Linked DNA regions of Styela clava. Each later gene encodes a partner of the first gene's protein in a complex. Links are inferred from orthologs where the notes say so. Each region holds a gene or a part of one and is shown in the gene's direction. Other genes may lie near its edges.

The links. The genes of interacting proteins can lie anywhere in the genome.
Region 2: mediator of RNA polymerase II transcription subunit 20-like (region 1) and mediator of RNA polymerase II transcription subunit 23-like share a complex: the UniProt entries of both Drosophila melanogaster proteins name them as parts of the mediator complex. The link is inferred for Styela clava from reciprocal best matches to the Drosophila melanogaster genes MED20 and MED23.
Region 3: mediator of RNA polymerase II transcription subunit 20-like (region 1) and mediator of RNA polymerase II transcription subunit 8-like share a complex: the UniProt entries of both Drosophila melanogaster proteins name them as parts of the mediator complex. The link is inferred for Styela clava from reciprocal best matches to the Drosophila melanogaster genes MED20 and MED8.

The regions. Positions count from the first base shown.
Region 1 is NC_135251.1:21,685,104-21,691,916, reverse strand, and holds mediator of RNA polymerase II transcription subunit 20-like, read left to right. Parts: upstream 1-4,027; 5' UTR 4,028-4,766; coding exon 4,767-5,375; 3' UTR 5,376-6,277; downstream 6,278-6,813. Other genes in the region: prolyl hydroxylase EGLN3-like, read left to right, coding at 6,278-6,813. UniProt on the Drosophila melanogaster protein: Component of the Mediator complex, a coactivator involved in the regulated transcription of nearly all RNA polymerase II-dependent genes.
Region 2 is NC_135256.1:5,125,474-5,132,719, reverse strand, and holds the start of mediator of RNA polymerase II transcription subunit 23-like, read left to right. Parts: upstream 1-4,223; 5' UTR 4,224-5,649; coding exon 5,650-7,246. UniProt on the Drosophila melanogaster protein: Component of the Mediator complex, a coactivator involved in the regulated transcription of nearly all RNA polymerase II-dependent genes.
Region 3 is NC_135258.1:9,744,499-9,750,589, reverse strand, and holds mediator of RNA polymerase II transcription subunit 8-like, read left to right. Parts: upstream 1-4,572; 5' UTR 4,573-4,574; coding exon 4,575-5,309; 3' UTR 5,310-5,568; downstream 5,569-6,091. Other genes in the region: cytochrome P450 26B1-like, read left to right, coding at 2,289-3,614. UniProt on the Drosophila melanogaster protein: Component of the Mediator complex, a coactivator involved in the regulated transcription of nearly all RNA polymerase II-dependent genes.

The DNA.
Region 1 (6,813 bases):
AATCTATGGACACGTTAATCAAAGCAAAGCAGTCGTTTTGCCATGAGCTTGTGCCGTTTTGCCATGAGCGTGTTCTCTCATCCACGACGAATAATGTAATATAAAGCATACATATTCGCTAACAAACACATTTCATGAAGTGTGGTGAATAATCCAAATGAAAAATAATTCAAGAACAATAAACAATATTTCATGTCACACAGACCTAATAGACTGGGAAATATTGACCAATGGTACAATTTTTTCTATTTACATTTTGCACCAGGACCAGGGTTCCCAGACTCCAGCGATCAAAAAAAGCCAAATCAAGACATAAAAAAGCCAGCAGAAAAAGCCAACAATTTTACGTACGAAAGCCCCATGATTTGTCAGATTTTGAGCCCTTGGAAACGTACTGATGAGAGAAAGAGAGAGATTTATTGATTCGTCAACCAAAACAAATATAAATATGAAAGCATAAATACAAATAAATAAACACTGTTTATGGTAAAGACTGGAGGGAGCGATACGACTATAGGGAGATGTGGTGCGGTCTTAGGGATAAAGACTGTTCACCCTAATATTCAAAGTTCGATTCCCACGTTATTAATTTCACGTGTTATGGAATGTGACTCCAATCTGGATTCCCTCAGACGATAATAAGCACACGATGATGATTGTCGACATGTTGTATATTATTGAAAAGATGCACGATCCAAATTCCAAATACAGATAAAATTGTAAACACTTAATTCTTAATGCAGTAATATTACGGTCAGATCACAAGTCATATATCAAGTGAAACAAAAAAACACAATATTATAGAGCATTCTCGGCAAACCGGAAACGATACGTTATCAAATTGGTCGAAACGAGAAAGGCAATACATGGAGCGAATGCATTATCGCTGTTGCGAAACATAATGCGGCCTATTTTGTGAAATATTACATGCTATTAATATGAAAGGGTTAAATACATTATAATCCATAGTTACACAATGCACATTCGCTACACAATTCCCCCTCGACAGTAAAAAAAATTAACTTGGTAATTTTTTAAATTTTGTAGTCCGGTCGCCGAGAGATGAAAGTCTAAAAACACAAAAAACACGAATCAATAAAAGGTACGATATGATGAATAATGGCTAAGGTATACGGGAGAATATACGTCGTTTACAAGAGCAAGAAAATACGTGAGAGAAAAAAAATCAAAAATACAAAAAAATTTCAAAGGGTCTCCGTGGTGCTTTGAAATGTTTAACATTTGAAAATGAAATTGTAACGATACATTGAAACAAAATGGCGACGATGTACCGGAAGAGACACCTTAAAATGTAAAACGGTTCTGATGTTTAATGAAGAGACTGAGAATGAATAAAATGGCGGGTTTCGTCCTAAAAATTGCATTGAAATTGATTAGATGTTTAAGGTCGTAAAATTGATGTTAGAGGTAACTTGAACAAAATAATAAGGAAGAAAAATCCTGAAAATTGAATAATGAGTGATTTGAAGAATTATTGAACCATTGAATCCTTGAGATTGAACCTGGATCAAATTCTGTATGAAGTAAAAGACTCATGATATCTAAAAACAACAATTGATTAGTAACAAGGAAATACACACAAAAGAAATGAGAATACGCAAAATTTTTATTTTGATGGTTTTGTAATATTTATATTTTTATAGTGAGGTGTTTTTATGTTTATGATGGATAATAATAAGAAAAAAGATAATAAAATACAAGACGATTAAATTGATAAAATGAAAATAAGTAATAACGAAGCGATACATTGCGAGTTACACACCATATACCAGTGGTTCTTAAAGCATGGGTCGCGACCCAAACATGGGTCGCGGAAGGTTTAAAAATGGGTCGCGACAAGGTCGTTAATGCAAGGGCAATCTAAGAGGAGACGGACGAATTTTCAGATTTCCCAATGTTTCAATTTAGCTTCTAAACTCTGGTATTTAAAAATAATGGAATATAAAATTTCATTCACGGAAAGAACTGTCTTGAGCTCATTGTTACATCACAATTCTGATATGCCAGTCACGTGTATTATTTTCATGGTATCGGTAACCATGCAACGTTGTGTTGACCGCGTGGAATGTCGTCTTAGTGGATTAAAATAACCAAAAATGGGTGTCTTTTTGGTATTGTAAATTGTAATAGACGACGCAATGAAAAAGCTCGCTTCTCGACATTAGATTATTCAATATCTAGAGAAAATGTGACTTCATCTCGAGGCACCATTTACCGCGAACGAAGCGGTGTGTGCACATTTGATGAGTAAAAAGTTGTATATTGCGAGAGATACCGAAGGCCAGCTAGGATGTCGTGTTTGCGACGGACAGCGGACGCCTTTCTGCTACAATTCGCGACAAGGCACTTGTGCGAGCGAGGATATTTGGCACTGACGGTTATCAAAACTAAGCTCGCAATCGCCTCGATACCCGTGACAACTTGCGTATTGCGTTATGTAAAATAGAGCTGTGTATTGAAGATATAATGAAAAGGAAATTTCAGTTTCATCAATCTCACTGAGTCAATGGACTGTTTCTAATAAATAGTTGTCTGTATTTGAGTCAAACTGTACTAACATTAAAAACACATTTTGCGTTATTTAGGATTGGGTCGCGAGTATTCATAAAACTCAGATTTGGGTCGCGCTCGAAAAAGTTTAAGAACCACTGCCATATACCATTTGCAACGTGCGTCGAAATCGAGTTTCCTTAATAGGGTGTGGATAAATCGAAAGGTTTACGGTCAGATCACAAGTCATATATCGAGTGAAACAAAAAAACACAATATTATAGAGCATTCTCGGCAAACCGGAAACGATACGTTATCAAATTGGTCGAAACGAGAAAGGCAATACATAGCAAACATAATGCGGCTTATTTTGTGAAATATTACATGCTATTAATATGAACGGGTTAAATACATTATAATACATAGTTACACAATGCACATTCGCTACACGACCATACGGTCATCCAAGTCAGCTCACCGTACCTTTGACGCTACCGGTACCTACGCTTGACAAAGCAGGAATTTCGTTCCACACCACCGACGTTCCATGAGCGTGATCAAAAGAACAACAAAAAGAGTGACAGCACAAAAACAAATCCAATACGTGTCATAAAAACGAATCCCACAGTGCTATCAAGAATATTTGAAATAGATGAATGTAATAGCCTTCTAAAGAATTTTTTTATCTTTAACCACTGAAAAGAGCAATTGGTCCAGTAATCAAAAAGAAAAGCGACTTTTTACGTTTTCCACAAGGTGTCCAAAAGTGTCAAAGAACAACAACAACATAATATTAAAACGATCGTTATGTTCACTAACTTGTCCAACAAGAACAACAAAAATTGCAAAACGATCGTTATGTGCACCAACGTGTCCAATTTACGTGCGAACTTGATCATTTCACATTTTGAAAAAACTACACACACGTGAGCTACTTGATCTCAAAAATCGGTGTGTCAGATAATTTGCAAAAATCCATTGACAGTAACCAGCAATGCTAACCGGTTTGCTGATCTCAAAATTCCGTGAGACGGTTCTATAGAACCAGTGCGAACAGGATGAATCCCACAACTGGATAAAGTGCGTAATAAACCGACATATTTTAATAAGTGATAGGGCCTACTACCCTCTAGTACAGGGTGGTCCAAACCCAGGCCGGCGGGCCACATGTGGGCCGCCGCGTCATTATCCGTGGCCCGCGACTCATTTGCGCGAAGGGAAACAAAAAATTGCACTTGGAGTTGTTTCATCTTGAAAATAACCAAAAAATATTTTAAAGTCACTGAATTGAGTAGTGTTATGGCTAGCTGAAGCAGCTAGCGTGGTTAATTTATGTGCTTAGGTAGACTAAATATTTATCTGGCTTTCCATTTTTTTGTTCGGGAATATATGCTAACAAAATAAGCTTCGTAGAAAAGTAAAAATCGAATATAAAGAATCTATAAGCCTAGGTTGGCTACGCATGTAACTGAATATAATTCCTGTCGGATCTTTTTTGAAATTTAGTAATTATCCTAATGTATCCCAAATTTGGTGAAATTCAGTAATCAATCAATCTGCTGTTATTTGTAAATTATTTTGTAAACATGAGTTTGAAAAGAATGCTGACCAATTCAAACAGATTTTTTGACTGGATATGGGATACCGGTACCATACCATAATACTTGCCCAATATGTCTGCAAGTTGTGTCGGTGATGACTGATGATCTAAAACGACATTTTCTTCGTTATGAAAAGTTTGAAATTTTACACTAAATGTAGATATAGACTAGTCTAGTAAGATTTGTGCAAGTTTTAGTAAGTTTTTTTTGGTGGTTTTTGTACGTTTTAGCTTGATAAATGACTAATAATGATCAATGTGTTTGGACAATAGAAGTGTGTGTTTTGTATTGCACTGTATACTCTAGGCACTATTGTGGCCCGCGAGGCCGACAACCTTGGACCACCCTGCTCTAGTGGTATAAGGGGAAAATTTTTCCATAAACAATGAATAACTTTGTAATATTTTTGATAAGTTGAAAGCAGATTGCAGACCCCAAAATTTTGTAGATATCATTTTTTGTGACAAAATTCATTTTCACATTGAAGTAGCATTGTAGAATTTTGTGAAATATACTCTACTATACCACTTTTTGTCATGCAGGTCTGCATTTTCTTGTTGTTTGTATCAATACTTCTTTCTGTATATGTACAAGCTGATTTAAATTAACGCATTCATGCTAAAATAAAGTTGAGATATTATATAATCTGGCAGTATGGGAGTTACATTTGTAACCCATTGGGATATTGAGGAAGGAAAAAATGTTCCACAATCATTAGAAGAACTTCAACGGACAATTGAAAAAATTGGAGCTAAAAAATCAGGATTATTTTGCGTGGAATGTGAAACATATCAAACAGTGAACATTAATCAAGGAAAACCTCTAAACATAATATCCAACTCGGAATACCCATTGTCAAAATTTGCACTTTTTGAAGATGGTGCTTCACTAATCGCAGATGCAATGCTACCAAATTTTTTAGTTAAGATGAGATTGTTTTGGCAACAGCGCAAAGGGGCAAAGATTGAGTGCAAAGGACATCGGTATATTCTCAATGATTTTTTATTCAAAATTGGAGTAGTTACTCATGGGTCAAATACAAGAGGAATTGCTGTTGAGATAGAGTACACTCCGTGCCTTTATGTTAAAGAATGTTGGAATTTGCTTTTAGAGATTTTTCAAAATATTCTGGGACCCCAAGCTCCTACATCGGAAAATCCACTTTTTCAAAAATTGAAATCAACTGACATAATATATACAGCGGAACATACATCTTTACAATACATAGAAGTTTTCAATAATTTTCGCAAAGTTACATCATGAATTGGGATTTTATATTCCGTTGGTCTGTTTCGTGTATTTGTAACATTGGAGTTGCAATGAGTTATAAAGTATGAAATATCAAATATTTTAATATTACCAGAACTTTCAGAACCTGTCCCTCCAAAATAGTAGATGAGAATTGATTTCCTATTTTTATTATGGAGAATGAAGTTTCTTATCGTCTTGTTCAACATTAAACAAATAATTGAAAATAATGCCATTTTCAACTAATTTGGTTTAAACTTTGAAAATTAGCTTTGGCGTCATCGCTCTAAAAAGTTTACTGATAAGTTTTTATTTTATTAAATATTTGGTATATATGTCTGCTAATTTAATACTTTCTTCTAAACAAAAATGTTATTCATATCCATGGGAAGATGATTTAATAAAAGGATTTTGCAAAACATTCGGTTAATTTTGACATGTAATATTTTTGTATTGCCATTTTTACTATGAACGTTGCCATGTACAGGGATCCCAGTTCAATACACCCTGCGTGAGATGATAGGCATGTGACTTCAACATGGGATGTTCAACCTAGTTATGCCCAGCGCTTTAACCAGTGATTTCATTTTATATTTGTTCATTTTTAAATCCATGCCTGTACGATGTGTATGTTATGTAGGTTTACATAAACTTTTGAAACCAACTTGATTGCTCTTTAGATATATTGACATAGTGACAGTACGATGACAGTCATGGTCACGATGCTTTGTTTAACTAGCATATTTATACGCTATTCAAATATTCCCATCTACTTATTACTACTTCTCAATAAAGTATCGAAATAATTTTACACAACCCAAATTGATGATATTGTGGAAAGAAAATCAGTCTGATTATAAGTTTTCATACAATTGCTATTTTATGAATTTATCTCAATTTTCTACCATCATCAATTTATGAGCTTGATAACCTTATTTGCAGAAATATTGTTTGTTCACTATAATAAGATGCCAACTTGTGCTGTTTGCGATAAGCTTGACAATTTGAAGTCCTGTAGTCGATGTGGAAGTGTAGAATATTGTGGGCGTGAACACCAAACACAACATTGGAAAGTGCATAAAAAAGATTGTAAAAAACAATCGGGCAAGACAGACAGCACTGAAAATTCTGAAGAACAAAATGAGAATTCCACAATAGATGAAGTCGCACAAAAGATCAAATCAATGAATTTAGAAACAGAAGGTCGTGTGGCACAGAATTCTATTCCTCTTAACCCATATGATAGTTACACAAAAAGGGATGAAGGAATTGTTGCTCGATGTCATAAAAACTTAGTTCAGAGGGGAATATGCGTCATCGATACGTTTGTGGATGAAAATAGAGCGGATTTGTGTCTGGCTGATGCAATGTCTTTATATTCGCAACCCGATAAATTTAAACCGGGTGAAGTGATCAAGCAAGCGGGAAAAGATAAAATACGCGGAGATGAAAT
Region 2 (7,246 bases), on another chromosome or scaffold:
AAGCAAAGGCCCCACTTCAGCAGTCCCTAAGGGCGCCACAGAGTAAAAATATAGGTATTTACAGTTGGGGAGGGGGGGGGAGGACACAATGCTGGCGCAAAATTAATTTTATTTTTCATTCATAAGAAAACTCCCCATTCTTCCTAGTTTCATTGTTTGATAAGAGATTTCACAGGGTGTTTTCACTTTGTTAAGCATAAATTGCTCAAACATAATGGGATTTGGAATCTACCAATCAAAATGACATACCACTGGAATGATAAACTGAGGGACATGACTGCCATAAAATATTGAGAACCACTGCTCACTTTATTGCCAGTGCCCACAATGTCAACCTGTCCAGAGTGAAACAGAAAACATATCATGAACTAATGTAATGCATTAGAAAACATGTAAATAAGTTGTGTCAACCACAATTATGACCTACCGGTGTTTGCAACAAATAAGGCTCTGCCACAGAAAAACCAAGATAAGTTTAAAATAAATCAAAACTAGTAGTCAAGCTTGAATTCAACTTCAAATATACTTTCTAGTAGTGGTCGTTAACATTATGAAATTAAAACAAAATTAGGACAAAATCATGTTATTATGTTGTTTAAAAATATAGAGTAAATTTGATGATGACGGATTACAATAAACAGTTAGTTGAAGGAATGGTCGTATGGACCCAATTCAATTTGAATAGCATCCTCCTTAGAGGACAAATCGACATGCTGACAGTAAGCTAATAGGTTAACCAAAGAAGGAATATCTCAAGGTCAATAAGGTCATTGTTCAATAATAAGAGGAGTGCCATCATCAGAAAACGCCCAGTGATACGCCCACTTAGATATTTATAGCATAGATTTGATGATTAATAAGTGAACAGATATTGAGAATTGTGTGACGTGCTAAAAGAACATCATTGACACGCCTCCATATGAATTGTGACATTCACCACAAGATGGGATAAGATTAACATATTTATCCTGGGGGAGAGGAAAGCTGATAAGACGGCTTAATCATATGGCAAACCACATCCTCTCGTCTGATTACCAGTCCATGTCGGATATCAGATTAGTCAGTTATTTGTTTTCGGAATCATGGATTGATATTAAATAAATGGTGTTTGACTGCGGAATAGTGTTTGAAACTTTAGTGAATCTCACAGTAATTAAAGCATGACTTGAATGTGAAAAGAGAAAAGCAAAATTGCGGCAAGACTTTGTGAACAAAAAAAAAAAGATTTTAATAAAATATTATGGCTTTTTTTAAATATACTCTGAACTATCTTGTAGATAAGTTACAATATAGATGAAGTTGGATGTAGAATTTTACTATCATTAAGCTGTCGATTCCCTAAACAGATTTTACAAAAGACTAGGTGATTAAAGAAAATGAACTCGGTATATACAATGTGTCAAAGATCAGATGTGTGAGGTAATAAAATGGTAACAGCCCATTATAATTTCACACATTCTAAGTCTGGCGTCTGGCGAAAAATGTAGTCAGAAGTTTATCCATACCATTGCAAGTATGAAAAGCTATCCAAAAAATAAAACGAGTTTGACATCCTAAAAAATTGTAAGCCATCACTTACAAACTCTACAAATATTGCATTATATTATTTCCATTGTTATAAAAGGAATATTCACTTACATTGTTAAGCTCAGCTGCCATGATATAATCTTCAATCTTCTCTCGAAGAAAAGAAACATATTGAAGAGACTTGTAATCCATTGCAGTCATTTACATATCCATCTCTACAAAGAAAGAATATGAACAATCAAAAAATGATAAGGTTGTTCATACCAAAAACAAGAAATATATGATATATATTAAAAGACTTTCATAAATGGTTTATTTGGTAACAATTTAAATTCAATTAACCATACAACAAATACTGTGAATGTAAATGTAAGTTTCTCAAAAGTAAGATTGGTGCCTCTTTGTACCCTTAAATGTCATTTTAACATTGTTTGTTCATACAAGGTGTATTTTCAATGTTTTAAAACTATTGACTTAAAATGCAAGTCAAAGAATAAATAAATATAAAGCCCTATAGATAAGCCTTGAAGCCTCATTTGAAAGTACCGTATCTCAGTATCTACTATACTGCAATACAATTAGTCAATCAGAAAAGTTGATTTATCTACCAAATCTAAAATTTTGAGCAGCAATCATACACAAAGCATCAATGAATCACAGTATTATAGGTTCAAGGCACCTTGACAAATGTTGCATACACAGCACACACGAATACCTGAAATATAAAACCGTAGTGATTCCACGAAATCGAAAATATCATCTATCGAAATTAGGAAAAAAATTGTGGTTCATACCATATCCTACCATCTAAACATACCCAGTAAAGAAGTGGAGTATAATGGTATAAGACAATTTTTACTCCACAATCAGCATAAAAGACGATAAAAACAAAACAAAAAAATAAAACTTAGTCTATTACAGAATCAGAACCGTATTTTGACATCTAGCATACTGATGAATTATTCTCACCTTAGAATACGAAGAACTGAACCTTCCAGAATTGTATTGCAGTCTTCTATGCAATGCTTCCTTCTACCAGTATACTCGACAACAGTGGAATTTAATAAAGCTGCATCGCTGCAAATGTAGAAATGCCGACGAGCAAATAGAAAAACAACACCGGTGAATCGGCATTTCTCCTATTGATCTACAATTGCCAGACCTGATAATTGGAAATACTCAAAAGGAAATTAATATCTAATAAAGTAATGGAATATATGTTCATTAAACAATTTTATATATAAAAATTATTATAATATTACACTATGTATTTTTATCCTTCAATTTACACAAAATAGTAGAATAAAAATAAGTTGTTCTTTTACGAAATGAGAAGAAAATTCTGGCAACAAATCAATAACGAAAAGCTCAAGTGTGTCACCTGCTGACGATAAAAATGAGGCAAAACAACTCGCTAGAGGTCGCTAATATTTGTCGTCACGCCCCACTAATTAGCAAATTATTCCTACACGGTTAAAATAAATGTTCCCTCTCTTATTTTTTTTATAAAGTTTGGAAAAGTTGACATTAAAAAAATATTTTAAATGATATAAACAGTACGGTATACTTATTATATCATACTAAGTAAGCGTATAAAACTTACAGTATATACAAATCAGCAGAGCAAAACCACAGCCGAATTCAAAATACGTTTTGATCTTTGTGCATCATAGTGATCAACCCTGGAAACATGGATCAAACATGGAAGTAAATGAAGTTGGACATTTAGAGAAGATGGGCAAATTGGATTTAAATATTTGCCATTGTGTGTTTTGTATTGTGTATTTATATATTTTATTATGGGACGGGTAGTTTACCTAATTGCTTAGTAACTTGGAATCGTTTTCATAGTGAATTATCTTATTTGGCTCAACCATAGACTCTTGTGGAAGTTCGTTTATTGCTTTCTATACCGGTAACTAGGATAGGATAGGATTTACATATTCATCCCGGGGGAGAGGAAAGCTGATAAGACGGCTTATCCATATGGCGAACCACGGCCTCACGTCCGGTTACCATTCCAAGTCAGGTATGGGATTAGTTTTACCGTATTGTTTGTTTTCGGAAGCATGGACTTGGTGCTGGAGGAAGCCATAACCGACCAGCGGTTACATGAACCACCCAACGACGGCGAGGAGTCCAGCAATCCTCTCGCACATAACCATCCCTGCATGGGATTCGAACCCACGCAGAGTAATTAGAGGTGCGGTCACGAGCGTATTCCTAACGCTTAGCCCGTTGCTACAGGAGTGGTGACTCCTCTACGGCCCATGGGCCAGGGCCACGACCCATCTAATTGGGCCACATGGGCCGTGGCCCATAGCTTGATGGGCCGCAGCCCCATCAAGAAAAATTCAATTATTTTAACAAAATTTTCAATTTTTACCAAATTGTCAATATTCAAACCAAAAAAATATACTCCTGTAGTATGTGTACCAGGTTAGGGTTAGGACAAGAAAAATTCAGATTTTTTTACATTATAGTTCTATTATGAGTTCGGGGACTGTCTGTGTTAGCCAAGTGAATAGTTTCTTTACACAACTTGATGGGCCGCGGCCCATAGCCTGATGGGCCGAGGCCCAATTCGATGGGCCGTGGCCCCGGCCCATGGGCCGCAGAGGATTCACCACTCCCACTCGCCCGTTGAGCCACACCGCCGCGCCTCCTAGACAAGACTATTCAGCAATTTAAACTTGGCTCCTCTTGCAGTCTTGTAATATATTTTATCATCAAGTAAGTTGTGAACAAGTTTGGGGTCTACAGGTCTTAAATAGTTAACGCAAGTAAGTGCCTAAATAACAACAAACAAAAATGTGATTTGAAAATAAATGTTGTGACTGAATTTCATTCAAATTTGTTTTCAAATCCTGAGTTGTTGGCAGTGCTGCAGTGTACGTACATGTCTCTCATCCACATCTCAAGTGTGGTTTGCAGTATTTCATTTCTAAACAGTGGACAATGTAACTTGTGGCCACACTAATTAAATTTGATCTGATAAGTTTATACATCCTACTATGTTGCTTTTTATTCAAAGTTTTCTGCTACATTCCAAGTTTTAGTGCTTAGTATTTTTATTTATCATATCGATATTGAATCAATTTTTAGAAGTTTGATATCGTCGGCCAGTTCATGAAAAAGTTTGTAAACATTTTGAATTTCGCTTTGGATACATTTTCAAGTCCTGTTCCTATGTTAATTTATCGATTAACACTTTGTTAAATACTGCAGTACTGTGCAGAACTTCATGTATAATTTATTTGATTGAAATTGTCGGAATTCTAATTTATCTGTATGATAACTGGATTTTTTAAATTAAAATACTCGTCTAGTTTAATATTTAATTCAATTTGGAAGAACCATTTAATTTGGTTTTGGCGTCGCAGGATATTTAAATTTTGAACAGCCTACTATTAGCTTATTCAATAAATCATTCAAGCAAATTTATGTCACTACAGTACAGCACACTATACAAATCGAGTGACATTGTCCTGTTTCAGAGAAACCCATTTTACCGATGATCAGACAGTCCTCCTTTGGCAGACGTCTGGACATTGTTGTCCCTCAATATCGGTAAAAATGCAGTATAATGAAGTTGGCGCAAAATACTACAAAAAAGCGCAATCTAAAAACGTCATCATTGAATTTCTCTGGAAAAAATAATCCAATTTACCGAAGGGAAAAAGTTTTTTACCGTGGCATTCGAGAGTTTTTAGCGAAAAATGGCAATTTTGGTCACATGGCGGCCGCGATTAATTTAGATTACTATTGAGACAAGCATGGCGTGATATGACGCATCCGACGTGGTGCCCTCTTTTGTGAGACACATGGAGTGTATGTTTTATTGAACAAATTGGAGGGAAATTCTAGGAATTTGGATATTGTGTCGTATTGTACTACTATATTAGCGCTTCTTTTAATTGCCACATTAATGTCATTCTTTTTCTGTAATCAATACTGTAGTAATTCTTACCAAGACATTTAATAGGCCTATATAAAATAATCCAATTGATATTTCAGTAATACTTATAGAGCCATTATTTACTGTATATTGGATTTAAGTAATGTCCGACTTTTGCTGAAAATTTTCCATTCAATGAATTTTTTCTAAACAAGGGAATCAACATGTCTATTGATAGTAGACTTGAAAAAGTTTTCGACGACGCATTGAAGACAGATACAATAGTGAATGTTTTTGCTGGATTTGTTCGTTTAACTCCAGAAGACCATGACAAACGGCTCCGTGCATGCCTTTCTCAATTTCAAGAAATGACCCGAGAGATTGCGCCCGAAGATTGTGTGTCTGGTTTGTTGAATTTTTTCCATAAACAAACTGTTTTACGTCACATAAATTTTGTAGCGGACATGATCAAAATTTGTTTGAAGGATTCGATACTACCTACCAAAACAGTTCTGCAGCGTTTAATTCCTCATGAAATGTTGAAACATAATCGTCGTGTTCATTGGTGCAAAACGTTTGAAATTTTAAAGGAATATATTCATTTAATTGAATATAAAGGATGTCGTGATATTCTGCATCTAGTTCTGTTGAAGTTGAAAAATGTACCGACAACCTCTTGGTCTGAAATGACAGAACAAATGAATGCTATAATTGATGTAATTGAATACCTATTGGATCCAGAAGCTTGTCTATTACCAGGGTATTTAGCCGTTAATGAGATTCGTCAATATTCTGGGGAGGACCAACCATCCGGTCATTGGAGTCTATCAGGGAAAGTCGCGGAGTTTGTAGACAGATTTCGTGCAACGGCGACCATGGTTTCCACAACAGGACGGTCACATCTTTTGCCGGTTGTTTTTCATTTTTCTGTTCCGTTAACGACCACTTGGAAACTTGATCATGAGACTTTGAGATTCACAACGAAAGGACAACTTCCGTATGATAGAAGTTTATATCAACGCCAAACGAAGCTCTTGAGATACATTCTTGAGCAGCCGTATTCAAGAGATATGGTGTGTCATGTTCTGAATCTTCAAAAACAGCAAAAGCAAAGATGCGAAGCGTTAGAAACAGAACTGGTTGATTTAGTTGTCAGCACAATGGAACGAACTAGTGAAATCGAAAATTTAGATGAAAAGGACGATGCTTATCGTATAATACATTTACAATGGCAACATTTATCAAGTCAGGTGATCTACTTTGTTCTTTTGCAATTCGCAGTTTTCCCAAGAATGGTTGAAAATTTTTATCAGAAACTTTCATCAAGAAATGTCAAAAATGGACGTGATCATTTAATGTGGGTCTTGCTTCAATTTATTTCAGGAAGCATTCAAAAAAATCCACTCAGCGATTTTCTTCCGATTATAAAGTTGATGAATTTGTTGTATTCTGAACGTCAACCTCTTCCAGAACCTGATATAACGAAGCCGTTCAGCACACATAAGTTTGCTGCAATTTGCATTTTAATGCATTTGAACAGGAAAGCCCAGAGTGATAATCAACAACAAGAAAATGCAAGTTCTAACAGCTCTTCGGGGTCTATTAGCACCACGTCCAAAACTGCACAATTTCAACATTGTGCGATACCAGTATCATTACAAAAACACCACGAGTATTTGCAGCGTTGTTTGGAATCAAAGAACAACAGTTTGCAAGACTATGCGATCGCTCTGATATGTAACGCTTGTAGCACGACAACAGAACTTTTCAACGGACCTATTAACTCTCTAGTTGACAGTATTTATGGAGATTCGACTACGA
Region 3 (6,091 bases), on another chromosome or scaffold:
GTCTGGATTTCATGGCCTTTTTGAACGAGAAATCGGGCGTGCAATCAGAAATTCCCGCGTGCAAATAAGAATTCCTGGCGTGCAATTATAGCTCACGACGTGCAAAACAACTGCACTCGCGTGCAACTGACTTTGACATCAGATACCTCTCAATACATCCGCGTAAAATTACCGGTATCGGATAAAAAATACGTTGTATCAGAGAAAAAATGGACGTTTGACCTTTGACCCCAAACATTATTTCTACAGTTTGTCGCTAATTTTGAGAGTGTTTGTGCGACTTTGGATACCGGTACTGTTCAGTACATCCGCGTAAAATTATTGGATAAAAAATACGTTGAACCAGAGCAAAATGGACATACTTTGTCATTAATTTTGGTAGTGTGTTTACGTAGAATTAATGGATAAAAAATACGTCAAATTAGAGCAAAATGGACGTTTGACCTTTGACCCCAAACATTATTTTCATACTTTGTCACTAATTTTGGGAGTGTTTGAGCAACTTTAGATACCGGTACTGTTCAGTACATTCGTGTAAAATTATTGTATGAAAAATACGCTGAATCAGAGCCGTACTTGGCCATTGGTGCGGAGGCGATCTTTTCGTCCATAACTATTCTCACGGGATTCCTATTTCCTATCATTCAACACGATATGGACCTTTCCCCGAGCATCGACTTCCTTGTTTACTTCGTGACATTGGCCAATCAGCAAGATGCAAAAAAGGACGTAACAATGAGAGGAATTTTTCGCGGGTCAAAGGTTGGGGAAAGGTCCATGGTCTTTTTGCTTCGCAATATTTCGATCAGACCAAATCTTGCAAGCTGGTATTTGTCGACAATTGTGGAGGTATAATATTTTGGCATCTTTATATTACTGGATTATTGATTTTAAAACCATTTAAACCGATTTACATTGGTGAGCAATTGCAAATTTTCGGCGTGCAAAATTGATTTCGCTCGCGTGCATTTTTGCGGAGCGCTAGCGCCCTCGGGCGTGCACCTGCCATGGAATCCAGTCTGGGTTAGAATCATATTCTAAATGGCCTAAGCCTAAGTTTGCTGTAAATTTTATCGACTCCACACCACAGCCCCAGTCAAAACAAACAGTAAATTCTTTATATAAGTACTATTTTTATTCAATTTCAATCAAGATCTGAAAGACAACATATTTAAGACTAAATTTGAGTTTAAGACTAAAAGGTACATATTTCCAACTGCATTTCCGTGCGAGCCATATGGCATTTCTACATTTAATTATTCATGAATGAAAATGCAAAAATTGTTACCGGTACGCTAAGCCCGCTAGAAGTTACTGAGGTATGAAAACTACACCCATATCGTTAAAGCAAATTAATACGTCGGTTTCTGCTTGTATAAAGCCTTGCATAGAGTGAAAACATTCCACGTCCTATTAAAATGTGGCACAATACATGATCAATCTCCGGATAATAAATAACAAGTCTTTATGTTTGCCGTACCCAACCTCAATCATCAATTAATATGTTCTTTCTGTTTGTCTAAAGCCTTGCCTAGAGCGGTATCGTATAATACCCTATTAATAGATTGTAGCATACATGAGCTATTGCTGGACATACGGTAAAATAACAAAGGTTTATGTGTGTGGTACCCAACTTCAACCATCGCGTAAATTAATATGCCCTTTCTGCTTGTCTAAAGTCTTGCTTAGAGTGGTGTCGTATAACGCCCTATCAGATTGTAACACGATACATGAGCTATTGCTGGACAAAAAATTGTTCGGAATGGGATAACGTGAACGTTCCATGGCGACAATTTAGTCCCTTGTGATCCTTGTTTATTTTGAGCTCTGCGCAACGATCCCGATACGAGAGAGGTCGCTGAGAGTTTGTAAACATACTCGCGGGCGCCATTACGGGAGACCGTCGCTATACTTTGGCAAGCTGTATTTCGTTATTGTGACGTCGCAGTGACGTAATTTTTTTGATGACGTCATCAGGTGGGGGTCAGGAATCATATATTTAAAAATTGTTACGCCACGCCCATTAGAAGTTATTCAGGTGAGAAAGTACATGAGACGCAATAATTATTTACGGGAATATAAAGTAGTAAGACCGCTTGCAAATTTAAGTATTTGGTAAATGTTACCTGTAGTATCGTGACTGTATGATTACAATATTTTCATTATCTGATTATCTAACAGAACATTCAGAGTAAACATTAGAACATGCAAAGATATCGATAATATCGGGGATTACCATCAGCTGATCAAAACACAGACACTCGAAAATGCTGTAAGTTGATAGAGGCATGTCTCAACTTCCGGGATCATGTGGATACCCAATATTTGGCGACAAGTCGGTGGAATTCTACAGGGACCCCGAACTGTTTATCACCACAAAAATATCTGAGACCTCATCCAAAGTCTTTCTAACAAGACTTGTTAATACACCAACTATATTTGTTTGTTCACATCAAGAAACAACTGAAATTCTATATGAAAAATCGAGAGATTTCGATCATGGATATAGAGAATTTCTTTACAATTCTTATGGAGACAATCTTTTGTTTGAAAATGGAGAAGCAGCAAAGTTATTAAGGAACTGTCTCACTCCTATATTCACTAATATTACACAGTATGAATCGAGTATCGAGGAATTTTTTGGGAAGTTTTTCGAAAATTTCCCACCGAATGGAGAGTTAGTCAATGTATATGAAGAATTTAAATCTCTGATGACTAAATTCTGTCTTAAATTTTTTCTTGGATTTTCAGATACATCATCAGAAAGGTCAAAATCTATTTCTGAGTTGGCAACATTGCATTGGCATGGCATTATATCCCTTCCTGTTAGTGTTAAAATTCCTTTTGCTGGTCAATCTGGTTGGAGCAAAGCAATAGAAGCAAAAGAAAAACTTCTTATTCATATTAGAAAAATGATAGCAGCAGAGAAGAATAATAGTTCATCAAAACTGGATGCATCAGTATCCAAAAACGATGCCTATGTCAATCCTAACAAGTCCAACGTTATACAACAGATGCTTCAAGCGCCATTTATGAATAGGGATAAAAATATGGAACAGCATATTTTACTCTTCATATCCTCTCTTATTCCAAAAGCATTTTCTTCTATTATTACTTCGTTCATATTAGAAATGGCTGCGAAAGAAAGAGCTAATTTACGTGAGAGTGCTGCATTAGATTCTCAACTTCTTTCAAGAATTTTATTAGAAGTTCAGAGATTATGGCCTCCGTTTTTAGGAGGACGACGCATTGCAAATAAAGATACGACTATTGGTGGCTATAAAATACCAAAAGGTTATGCTGTAATTTATGTCTCATATTTTGCCCATAGAGATAAGAATGTGTTTAAAAATCCTGATGAATTCAATCCAGATCGATGGTTAAATCAGGGAAATACTATATCAGCAAATTCTATATTTACTTTTGGGGGTGGGGAACGTGTATGTATCGGACATCGTCTCATTCAGTATATCCTACAGCGTTTGACAAAAACGTTACTGGAAAAATTTACATGGGAAATTGATGGTGATGTCAACAATACAAAAAAGTACAAATTACTCCCAGTCGCAAGACCTACAGAATTGCCTTGCGTTAGATTTCATAATAAAATATAGTTGATTATTTTTCTCACAATTTTTGTCGTTTTACCTCTGTATTGTGTTATGTGCCCATTATCCTCTATAGCCTAATCTGTTTTTAAAATGTTCCGATGAAATTTCAAATTACATTCAACACTCTGAAGCTTTAAAATTGTTTTGAACAAGTCCTTTTTTCATTCAATCATTATATAACTAATTCTTTCTTACAAATTGCAACTTCTTGCAAATTGCACTTGATTCTTCGAAATCAATTTGTTATCATTTTTTTTAATTTTTCTGTAAAATTTTTAATCACTTGATTATTAATACCTTATGAATGATGAACAGTATTATTGTTACTGTACTGTACCATGTTACCGCAGCATTATTTTTATCAATATGAATTTTGCAATGTCAGTCAGTACTTGATATATTCCCAGAGCACTTTTTTATCTTTATTTGTTACCTAACAAATATACCATATATCATGGATGTTTATTAATATTGATATTGTTAACAAAAATTCTATTCTCATATTTCTCCACATCGGTATTGGAATACTGTACTTCTAGACTTTTTTGAAAAATTATTTATAACTTGAGTATTTTCTAATTTATTTGTTTTGCAATTGAGTTTTCTCTGCAGATTATTTCTTCAAATTATTATCAATATTACAATGCGGTTCATTTAGAAATCAAGATTTGTTCTCTCCATTTCTATGCATGAAATTTGAAATTATCTTTTTGTGTACCTTAATTAAACGATATTCAGCATGATTTGTGAGTTACCTAATTCAAACATTTACAGACTTCTTTTTTATATAAGACCTGTCTATTTAAACCGGTATTCCATCTTGTACTAGTGTTTTTATCAAACTGTGTTGTGGCTTGTGATAAGAATCAGTTTCAAATTTTCTGATAGGGCTGTATTTGATTTTTGACTAGTTTTTATTATCAAATGATGTGAAGTTATGCAAATTGATATCTTAGATTTATAATGAGTACTGTTTATATTTATCAGCCTGCAACACTTATTTCTAAAAATAATATCATGGAATCTCAAGGAATAGAAGAAAAAGTGCTCGAGCAATCAGTTGAAGCCCTCATGAATCGTTCTCGAGAATTGAAAAATGCTTTGGTACAATTTATTGCAAAAATAGATCACGAACATGAAACTCTTACTTGGACATCAGTCTTGGATAGTTATGCTCTGTTATCGGGTCAAATGAGTTCACTCTTCAACTTATTGAAAGCTGAAAAAATAGCACCTCTTCAAAATTATCCTATTATACCATTACGCTTGGGCCAGGATGACGACCAATATCTTGCTAATCTAACGGAAGGTAGATTGCTATATCTTAATCATGCCGTTGTCCCAGATTATCTAAGGACCAAACCTGATCCAGAGGTCGAACAAACGGAACGTCAAATGAATAATGAAGCAAGTGTATGTAATGATGCAGCCGTCAAAAACTTAAACAAATGTTGTGATAAAATGTTAGAAAGAATAAAACTTTCTCTACATAATTGGAAAAACGATCAACAGCAAATGAAAAATATAAAACCAACATTTAATCAGAATGACACTGTACAATTAATTGCAGCTTCAACGTACGGTCGTGATATTTCAATACAACAGTCTCGAAACCCAACTCAGCTACCACCAGGAGGTGGGAAAATGCAAACGGCTACGGGTGTCAAAATAGAGTCCCATCCATATTCAAGGCCATGATTGCTTAGGATCAATGTTTTGGATCCATTTGGTATTGGAATATTGTTGTAAACGCATTGTCTTAACATGAAATAAAGGCTTTATGAGCCGTGGGACTGCTTGAAAAAATATAAGCAAAACTCTATGTTATATTCTGACATTACATGAATAAATATATGAGGGAACTGGCGAATATGTAGGGGAATTGTAGTTCATCTAAAATTAATTTTTCTATCTAGATTATGAAGAAGACTGATGAAATACAATATGATAAAAACTGCTTTTCTTGTGATATATTTATTTTATATTGAGCATGAAAGCGGAATTGGAATTAGCCTCTTTGTTGAGGTATCTTTCTATACCATAAGCGTAAGGGAATGCCTATGGGCCTGTTTTACAGTAAGCCATGGTACAAACTGCTAAATTTAACATGGTTTGTCGAATCTTGGATGTTTTGTACTCCCAGATTGGGTTTCACAATGTAGTTTCCATGCCAGTTTTGTATAAAGCCATGGTACAAACTGCTAAATTTAACATGGTTTTTCAAATCTTGGATGTTTTGTACTTCCAGATTGGGTTTCACAATTTAGTTTCCATGCCAGTTTTGTATACCATTCATATTGTCTGATAATACAACAACAAGAACATCTACTAAGCAAACAAAACTTTAATGTTTGAGCTTGACTGGTTACGAGTTAGTCTGACAGGTACGTAGGGCTTGATCAATCCAACTTACTGTTCTCCCATTATGATCAAGGGTAGGGATGGGCAATATAGAATACCGAATCCGGAGGATTCGAATC